2 linked regions of the Drosophila melanogaster genome follow. The protein of the gene in region 1 interacts with the protein of each later gene in a biochemical or structural test. Each region holds a gene or a part of one and is shown on either strand. Other genes may lie near its edges. The genes, in order: Wnk and fray.

What was found.
Region 2: of the proteins of Wnk (region 1) and fray, one has a biochemical effect on the other in vitro, tested with the Drosophila melanogaster proteins (2 studies listed by BioGRID).

Annotation. Positions count from the first base shown.
Region 1 is NT_037436.4:21,551,820-21,556,888, reverse strand, and holds the start of Wnk (Wnk kinase), read left to right. Parts: upstream 1-1,960; 5' UTR 1,961-2,335; exon of another isoform or gene 2,336-2,508; intron 2,509-2,708; 5' UTR 2,709-2,745; coding exon of another isoform or gene 2,746-2,864; intron 2,865-3,295; coding exon of another isoform or gene 3,296-3,770; coding exon 3,771-4,685; intron 4,686-4,916; coding exon 4,917-5,069. Other genes in the region: CG7173 (uncharacterized protein), read left to right, coding at 1-598, 948-1,137, 1,204-1,238. UniProt on the Drosophila melanogaster protein: Serine/threonine-protein kinase component of the WNK-SPAK/OSR1 kinase cascade, which plays an important role in the regulation of electrolyte homeostasis and regulatory volume increase in response to hyperosmotic stress.
Region 2 is NT_033777.3:18,579,194-18,584,265, forward strand, and holds the start of fray (frayed), read left to right. Parts: upstream 1-2,022; 5' UTR 2,023-2,277; coding exon 2,278-2,311; intron 2,312-3,085; exon of another isoform or gene 3,086-3,161; intron 3,162-3,390; exon of another isoform or gene 3,391-3,512; intron 3,513-5,072.

The sequences.
Region 1 (5,069 bases):
GCAATACAGACAGCAGCAGCAGCAGCAACTGTATCAGCAACAACAGCAGCAGCATCAGCAACCGCAGCACCAGCAGCCGCAGCAGCAACAAGCGCTGCAGCAACATGTTCCCTACAAAACTGCTGGCCTAGACAACTCAGTCTCCTCCAGTTACAATGAGCCCATACAAGTGTCCGACTTGTTCTACCAGCAAGATCCCGCTCCTGCGAATTCCGCAGTGGTTCGCGGCAGTTACCAGGCAGGTCAGGATGTCTTCGTTGTCAAGTCCGACGGCAACAAAGCCGTTAAGCATGTGGTCTCTACTCCCATGGCGGTCCAGACCACCACTCAATCGCCGTCGAAGAGCCAGCACCTCGCCAAGACCCACAAGAGCTTTACCCCGGAGCCTCTGCGATTCGAGTTCACCGAGCAAGATGCCATAAGGGGATCGATGAAGTACACCCAAGCCCCGCAAGCCAATCAGTACTACTACGAAACCGTGGCCCAAGCTCCCCGCGAGCCCGCGAAATCTCCTGCCCCGAAGATTGAACTCAGCAAGCCCATTAAGGAATACACCGATGACCCAGAGGATAGTTCCGACACTGAAAGTGGAAAGCAGGTTGGTTCTGTTTCTCAATAAATGTGAAAACCGCAAGTAGCTTATATAAGCTAGCATATTTGTTGGCCAAAAAGTGGCCACAAAAACAAGCACTTCCAACCTTTAAGGCATTTTATAATGATTTTTACGCGATTTAGTGAGTACTTAATTTCGATCAAATCGTTTACGGGTTTAAAATAGTACTCTTCTTTGAAAAAATAAACTTAAAAAAATAGTTGATTCTATCAACTCAAGCTACAAAAATTATACGACTCATCAAATACCAGTAACAGTTTTTCCTAATAAGATCAAATTCTTTTTGCTGTGAATTTAGCTCTTACATTTTTAATTTTAAATTTGCCCATTTCAGCAAGATATTCCAAAGGTGCCCACTGTGACGAGTTCAGCTACTCCTGACGATCCAAAGGACACGGAAAACTACTGCGAGAAGATATGTGCTAATGTGTACGATGAAAACGATGAAATAATCTGTGGATCCGACGGATACATGTACACGGGCGAAACCCAACTGCAGTGCTATTCGTCATGCCTCAATATAAGTAAGAGTTTCATACCCAATATATGTATTGTCTGTATATATTTTAAACCAACATGTTCTATTCCAGGTGTGACGATTAAGAGTAAAGGATCTTGCTCTTAAACTAAAATAAAATAAAAAACTGTTTTAATTTAATTTATTCTAGCGATTACAAAATATGCAAATTTAGTGGAAATGGTAAAATGTAGGGTTTTGTAAAAAGTGATTTTGATTTGTTGTTCACGTATAAAAATATCGTGCACTTATAGCTTTCCTATTCATTAAAGTGATAACTTATAAACTATTAGTGCATGTATATTTAAGTTCTACAATATATTTGTATGTATCTCAAAAATCATTCAGAGAAGTTAGTTATAATAAATAAATTAACGAATTGCAAGAAAACATTATCGAAAATCATATTTATATATATAAAATAAGAGACTATCTGGGCTTTTTGCCTTAGGGGCAAAACAAAAGAGACAGGAGCATCTTCTTGCTGAATAAGGGAAACCTGTATAAGGGTTTGGAATTTATTAAGACTTTGTTAGGTGTGGTTTTTACAGCTGTAATCTGTTTGTAATCTGTTTCATTATGGCAGGCAAAATGAAATTTAAAAAAGTGGCTTAATGCTTAAAGGTTATACAGTATTCTTAACAATGTTATAACTCGTTCGAAGAGTAACGGTCTACTGTTCAAGTTAACAGAGGCCAGGTAACATCTCTGCTAATGCGTAACATATATATTAGGCAAGCTGGTAGCTTGGGTGGCATCACCGCCGATAACACTTGTGTAACAATATGCGCTATCGATAGATCACGAACACAAGTAAACCCAGTTGCTTTGTAAAATTTTTTGTGAAAGTAAAGGGAACTTCTGGCGAAATAACTTCAATTTTCCGCTGACTCTCGCACGCGTTCAATCCAATTGACCCCCCTTGTGGAGGTGACACTATCTCCCGAAAGACTTACCAATCCCCCGTGCCGTAATATGAAAGCTTGCTAGCTCGAATTGCCTTTGAACACCACAATCACAAATTGAAATCCTCGATGCGAACGATCCGACAGTCGCAGTGCGAGCCCTAGACCCCGTCCCGGTCGTAAATCCCCAACTCGAGCACGATCCCGTCGAGCGAAGGACTTCCGGAAGGAGCGGCGTGGAAACATGACATCATAGTCGCTGCATATGCTTCCTGTCCCGAATCAAATGTACATAAATATGTATGTATAGCCAGCGTACCGCACATACGCACATATCCCTCGCGACAGAACAGAACAGAGTAGAGTGGAACGGCAGAGCCAGTGACGAACGTAGTGCAATCGAAACTAGTGATTCATGGAAAGCGCACACCTCGGCCTCCTGGAGACGGCGCCACTACCTCCTCCACCCAGCTGTAAGCGATATTTCAGACGTCGGCACCAAGCAACGAACATAAGTGGGTGTGGGAATGGTCACCTTTCCCTGCTCCTGCCCCTGCCCATGTCTCTGCCCCAGTCCAAGCCAGTTCCTCCTGTCAATAGTGCCGGAATTTAACCTTTGCTCCATTCCTCCATGCCTTCATGTACTCATTCACCGCCTTGCCTCTCGCTTCAGATTAAACGTGGTGGTCTGCTGCTAAAAATCTTGCAAAATTGGACAAACCCTCTGCGACTTCGTACGACAACAAGAGGTCGTACCTGCGAACCGTGCTCGGAAGGGAAGCGCCATCAGCGAAGATGGTACTACCTCCTGCACCACGCAACCTCAAAGGTGAGTTGGAGTCATTGCCAAAACATTTAGGGAATATCTCTATTTATTTAAATATTGTTTTTATTTAAATCAGGGCACATAACAAAAAATGATTGAAGTAACAATCGTTGTTTCATATATGCCTAAATAACGTAAAAGCTGGTTTAAAATATCCTTGTATGTAGTGTGTTAAACTGACCAAGTATCCTACAAAGGATTTGTTTCCCTAGGATACTAATTTTTAAATATGCTTCAACTGGAATTGTTACTTCAACGTCTCTGTTTTAAGCAAAACTTACTAGATAAACAACACGTAAACTGAAACCGTTTTTTCGTTTATCGAATGTTTATAAAATGTTCTTGGAAGGAAGTTTACTGAGAACTGTGGAAAACTCGACTGTTGTACCTGTGAGTCTATAGAATCTAATCAACTACTTCTATCATTCTTTTAGGAATACCTCAATTTCTAGCGAGGAGCAAACTGTGCAGGGAGCTAATATACAAAAGTCGGGACACCGTTCGTTTAATAGATCTGCCTCCTCTAGGCAAAAGCCGAACCCGACATCAAAACTAAAAGACACACTAAACAGAAAGCCCACTTGCAAGCAGGGCACACTTTCTGCACACACGAGCACTAGCAGCACCACTTCAATCCAGTCATCACCTATCGAGCCAGCTTCTTCTCTACCCACGCTGAACACCACGCCTACACCACCAGCTGCCAGCAAAAGTAACCTATTTGTGCGGGTGCTAAGACGCTTTTCAAATAACACCCTTCCCGGCAAAACGGCGTCAAGCCCGAAAAACGTGGACGACGTACCGAAAGTCAACGATAACAACAACGGCGATTTAGGCAAACAGCAATCAACCGATGTAGAGGTGCTTTGCTCTCAGGACAACCAGAGCAGGGAACAGAATGAGGACGAAATGGATAGCAAAATAGAACCTGCAGATGCCATAAGCAACCAGAAAGCTGGTCTTACTTCGGGCAAACCTAAAAAAGACAAGTCAGTCAAGGGGACGTCGCAAGCGGTTGTTTCAGACACCAAGAAAATGGAGGCCAGAAAGTCCTCCTCGGACACGGTGATCGAGCCATTGATCAAGCAGCAGGCGCCACTGCACTCGTCAAAGACCACGCCAACGACTTTGACGGCGAACTTCGTGCAAAACATTCGATTCGTCCGTAAAAATGTGGAACAGTCAGGCAGGAACACCAATCCACTGCAGTTCGTTGAACTCGAGACAGAGTTTCCTCGTGACTATGACGACAACATCGAGATGCTTTCCCGCGAGGCGGAGCATCTGGAGGAGCAGTTCCGCACGCCTACGCGCTCCAATGCTACGGATGCCACTTCCCACCATGTGGCCGGAATCATCGACAACATTATAACCGAAGCGTCACGGAGTCTTACAATCGAAAAGACTGAAGACGATGTGCCATTGAAGTCTTCTACCAAGCACTCAAGCGGCGTAAAACGAGTTGGCTTTCAAGTAGAGGATAAGGACGATACCGAAGTTCAGAGCGAAAAGCAGGCAAAGAGCTTCGACGACATAACCAAAAAAGCGGAGAGCTCCGAGGCTAGCGCAGAGGAAGCTGCTGTCACCGGGTCCTCGACAGATGCATCTGCATCTCCCCTGCCCTCCACGTCGCTGGTCTCCACCACATCTTCAGCTACATCGATAACCAAGAGTAAGAGCGATGAGGACGATGATCCGGTGGCCATGTCGCCGTGCGGACGATTCTTTAAGTACGATAAGGAAGTCGGACGCGGTTCCTTTAAAACTGTCTATCGTGGCCTGGACACGTTGACTGGTGTTCCAGTTGCCTGGTGCGAGTTATTGGTAAGATAAAAAACTTCTTAAGTTTATTGTTGTGCCATTGGGCATATGTATAAGTATTATTATTATTAGTCAAAGCAAACATGATCACAAGCTTGCATAAGCAAGTTATCAGATAGATAATAATTATCATGAATTTTTGATTGAGTAATCTTTTTTATATAATGGATCATCACAATTAAAGTAATCATTAGGTAACATGAAAATGTACAATTTTATTTACCTATTTTACAGGACAAGCAAGTAAAAAAAAGTGAACGTACTAGATTTCGCGAGGAGGCAGACATGCTGAAGAAACTTCAGCACCCAAACATAGTGCGGTTTTATACATATTGGGAGTTTCCTATTGGCCGCAAGAAGAATATTGTACTAGTCACCGAACTAATG
Region 2 (5,072 bases), on another chromosome or scaffold:
TAGTTTTAGTTTTGAATAATAATGCGCGACAATTATGTTTGTCATATGACTTCCGAATACATTAACTTCCTGCATTTGCGCAGCTTTTTGAACTCAATGAACTGAAATACCCTCGAGCTCGACAAAATGTTTTGCGTACAAGAATATTGATTTATTTACTGCTGTTTTTTTATTTTTAATTTCTTGCGAAAAAATGACTTGCGAGTGCAAAAGTCCCAAACGTCCTTGCCTTGAGAAATCGACCGACTGAGCAGAAATCACATGAGATGTTGACCAGCAAATTGAACCGAGCATGTGAGCATTGATTTCGCTGATGGGCGATGGCACATGGCACATATTTTGAATTTTTTTTAAGAAATATACTATGCGCATTTGTTTATACAAATGTATAGAGTTTCACGAACAACGCGTCGATCTGCAATATACTTTTAAAAATATATCTTTCATGGGATTTTATAGTATTAGACTTTTTAAAGCAAGTTTGTTCATTAAATGTATCTCGATTGCTTAGAAAACATTTTACTAGTACAAGACTATAAAGAAAATATGCATTTTAATAATATTTTTCTATAGCTGGTTGTATACAAATATACAAAAGTATATCCACTGTAGTTTTTAGTATACTAAATAGGTTCGTTTCGGTTCATTCATCATAGCTGGCCCCCAGCTCGTGGTCATTAATGAGTTTTCCTCATTTTGATGTCACCGACGTCACGCAAGTGAAAAATTTCACAGAGTTTATGACCAACGCCTAGTATTAGTATTGTGAGTAGTATATCTACATATGTATGTAGAAAGCGAAATATTTGGGGCTCAGGAATATGGGGTTCAACCTTTGGCCCACCCACACACGTGTCGAATGGCATTGGGCGCTAATTAAATCGCTGGTTTTTTCGGCTTCTTTTTTTTTTGCGCTCTTCGAGTGTCAAAACTTTTTGAGGGCGTTCGATCACTTGACTCGAATCGCCGGTGCGCATAAAAAGTAACCCAGCGTACAATTATAGATATATTTACGATTTTGCACAGCCTGACAGATTTCACACATTTCGATACACAAGCTCTGTTGGCTTGGATACAACAAATTCCCTTGTTAAAAATAAGATTAAAGCAAAAAGTAGGAAAATAAGGCAGCACACTTTGACTATAAACAAGAATTTAAAAATACACATCCCATAAGCCGTATGCAAATTGCTAAAATAATAATAACATCAAACTTGCGCATGTCTTTGTCGATGAAGAAGAATTACCTGGGTACAGTGCTGCTAAAAACCAGGGTAAACATGGTTGAAAGACGTCTATAAGAAAAGAGAGGTCTTACCAAAGACAGTCCTCTTGAGGATAGAAAGAGATACGTTGTATCTCCAAGATATGAAGAATCTACATTTATAGATCTATGAATATCCTAGTACTTACTTGTAAAAAGCAACTTTTACTCACAATTCGCGACACAAGGACTTCCTGTTAATTATAAAAGTTGGTGATATGTTGTTTTTCTATTTCGTATCAAACGAAATTTGTAGAACCCGCTAGAACGGAACTAGGAACAATTGCCTATGCAAATTCCCGAAAATCCCCTGCCGAAGGTATTTAAATTTTAAGTGGAAGCCAAGGCAATCACTCATGCATGTTAGTTATCAGCTGGGCTTTGGCCATAAAGCCCGGCAAATCCGAGCTTACGTCAACCGACATACGTAGATACATAGATACACCTGGTGTTACAGATACAGATAGAGATACAAAGACACCGATGGGGATACAGAGGCGGATACTAACTACTACTAACTAACGCCAACGCGCGTTGATGGAGGCGGCAAAATTTCGCACATTTCGTACGTTTATTTCGTCGATCGGCAACGGCGTTTTTACTATAGTATATAGTATCGCCTGTCGTCGTGTTCCGCCATTTGTAGAGCTCATTTAATTTTATTGTTGTTTATTGCTAAACGAAACGAAAGCAATGGATGGAAAGGGGAGGGGGTGGAAAAAACAGTTCATTTTAAATGTTTGATTACAACGATTTGTGAAGTTCAGTCGAATTTGTGATTTTCGCGCTGGAGGAGCGGCCCATTCAGCGATCGCGAGCAATGCGATTTGGCGAACTGCAATCGGATCGAATCCCAATCGCAGTTCCGTTGATAACTCAACTCAGTCATTCTCGAGTGTCGCGTGTGATCGAATCTACATCTGTGGCTAAAGATCTTGGCTTAAAAGCAATTTACAGCCAGAACTAAAATCATTTCAGAACTTGAGAAAAAAAAATAGTGACAACCAGACAAAATGCAGTTGCTGAATTTAGTGTGCCTCAAGCAAAGTGGGTTGAAATTTTTGAAAAATCCAACTATATAAATCACGATTACGACACTCAACTTTTCAGCAAATCACAAGCACAAACTAATTTGAAATTCATGTTATCGCCGAAAGTTATTTTCCACATTTGTCATTTATAATCCAAAAATACTGTATGTGCGTGTATTCACGTATCCTTATGCAAATAGCTAAATAAATGATACCTATTTGATAGATAGGAGTGTGAATTTTAAATGCGAATTTGGCAAACCAACTTAAATTGCCAAAACTGAATTCGGTCAGGGGAATCCCCGTTATACTGCTTGTGATTTATATCCAGTCGGGTTCGGGATAATTAAATAATTATTAAAAAATAATTGCCACAAAAAGCTTATAAACATGTCACAACGAAATTTATAATTTACTCAGCAAAAACGACTTTATTAGGATTTATTTGGCTTCCAAAGCAAAAACACTTACTGAGCAAAGAGAGTTGAGGATTCACAAAATACATAGATCAGGGGATTTTCCAAATTTTGTCAGTATATGCAGTATTATAGTATATCCTGTGAAAAGTTCTTAAATTTGTTGATCATTTGGAACCAACAGCGAGAACCAAAACACGAAAAGATCGAAATGAGTATGCGCTATATGAATTCATCAATGCCAGTACAAATACTATATTCCCAAATCAGAACAGCAACTAAATGCAAAAACCAGGAATCAATTACTCTTCTTCCACATGACGTGCTGAAAAGTCGCTGGCATCGGCCAAATTAAAAATCTAATCTAAACAAACAGTCACTTTGGGCACTTGGCACGGCTCAGTACTCATAGCCGCGCACTCATCTACTCAACTAACGGATACATACATAGTATAGATATAGTATCTAGTCATTTGTATTTCATTCTTGCGCGCGATTGCAGTGCGAACTGTGTCAACAATTAATGCGAAGCGATATTGCAACTGCAATTCAAAGTTCAAGCAACTCGTTAATGTGTCAATATTGAAATTACAAATGTCGTTAAATTCATTTCCATCGAGACGTTTTATAAATACACTCACGTGTATTTTTGTAATTTATCTGATTCTTCTATATTAAGGCTGTCGCATATTTGCAAAACGCAACAGAGTGCAATAAACGGAAAATGTGTTAAGCGAATGAGATATTTATGCGTATTCATTTACCTGAGCTAATGAGAGGATCCATTAGCTGGATTGTGAGGTGATTAGGTAACTGAATCACGCTGATTCTTAAATTGCCAACTTTAGTACACCTAAATTATAATTATATGTGTGGAAAATTTCGTTAATTGTTTTGAATGAAACAATTTATAGTTAATTACTACCATTAACAGAAGTAACACAAGCTATACGAAAACTCAATTGAAAATCGCAGTATTACATTAAATTTATTTAAAAAATAAAAGAGTTACCAAATACTTTACCAATGCTCAGAGCCACTCTAAGTATTACCAAACAACTTTGAATGTGGTAACCAAACCTTTTGCAAATTCTTGAACACAATTTTGTTTAAGATTAGAATAGAGTATATTTCGAATCTTTCTCTTGAGCTGCTTTCCATTTTCCGATCCATTTGGATTCATACGCACCCAAAAACCTGCCTCTTTCCGCACGGCGAGACACTTTGCCATGGCCGAACTGCATTGGAAATTATATGCAAATAGCCAACGAGACGGAGACGTTCTAAAAATAAATAGACCACGCAAAAATCAGTATCAGTATTGTGTGTGTGCGCGCGCGAATATCTTATTTTTATAAGTCTTCAGTCTTCGTTCTTCGACCATGGCGCATTTTTATGCAGAGCAGAACAGAATTTAGCGCTATGGCCAAATGCAAACTGACGATCCCATAATCAACCTATAGATACATTTGTATCTATCTAGATGTCCGCCTGGGTTTTATGGATGGGCTGTTGTGGATGCAATTTATGAATTTTCCATGATGACTGTGCGGGCTTCCCCCCACAAATTAACCCCCTTTCCAGTATGTTAACCCAGTTATCTTGCCCAGCAAGATAACGGAATGGAAAAAGAGTAAAAGCGAGAGAGAGTGAGATACTGGATTCCACTTTTGTATCTGGGTGCGGTATGGAAAGCACATACATATGTCTGCTGTATCTATGCTCCACTTTTTGGGACTCTGGGTCTTTATTGTTGCTAATTGTTCTCGCTTGTTGTTATTATTGCCGCTGGAAACTTTTTAACTTATCGTGCGCGTCAGAGCTGATAAAATCCGAGTACACGAGGCGCAGGGAAAATTGGTGGGGGCAAACAAAAGAAAAACCTTACAAATTGTGCAATTGCCAGTGGGTCAGCATCGCCTAAACATCGTGCAAATAACATGGAATGTAGAAAAAAGTAGTTTCTATATTTTTGAACTATTATTCCAATTTATTTTTACCAGAAACAAAATTGAGGTTCATATTTAGCATTTTGAAATTACAGTTTTTATTCAATTTTTTTTTTTATCGAAACAATTTTTTATCGCTAATAACAGATAGTTTTCATCTATGACGCCCACTGTGCGGCTCTTAACCCGCTCTCACTGGCGCTCTCTACCTCTCTGCTTCCTCATTCTCAACCAGCACCCCCGCCCCACCGCCCTTCTTTTCTGTTGTTGATATTTACTCAATAAATTTATTTTTGTATATTTCTAGTTTCAGCTTTCCACACTAGCATAATACCCTTCAGTCGTTTGGCTTATGCATATTTCAAAGTACTAACCCCCATATTCGTGGAGATCTTGATTTAAGAATCTATAT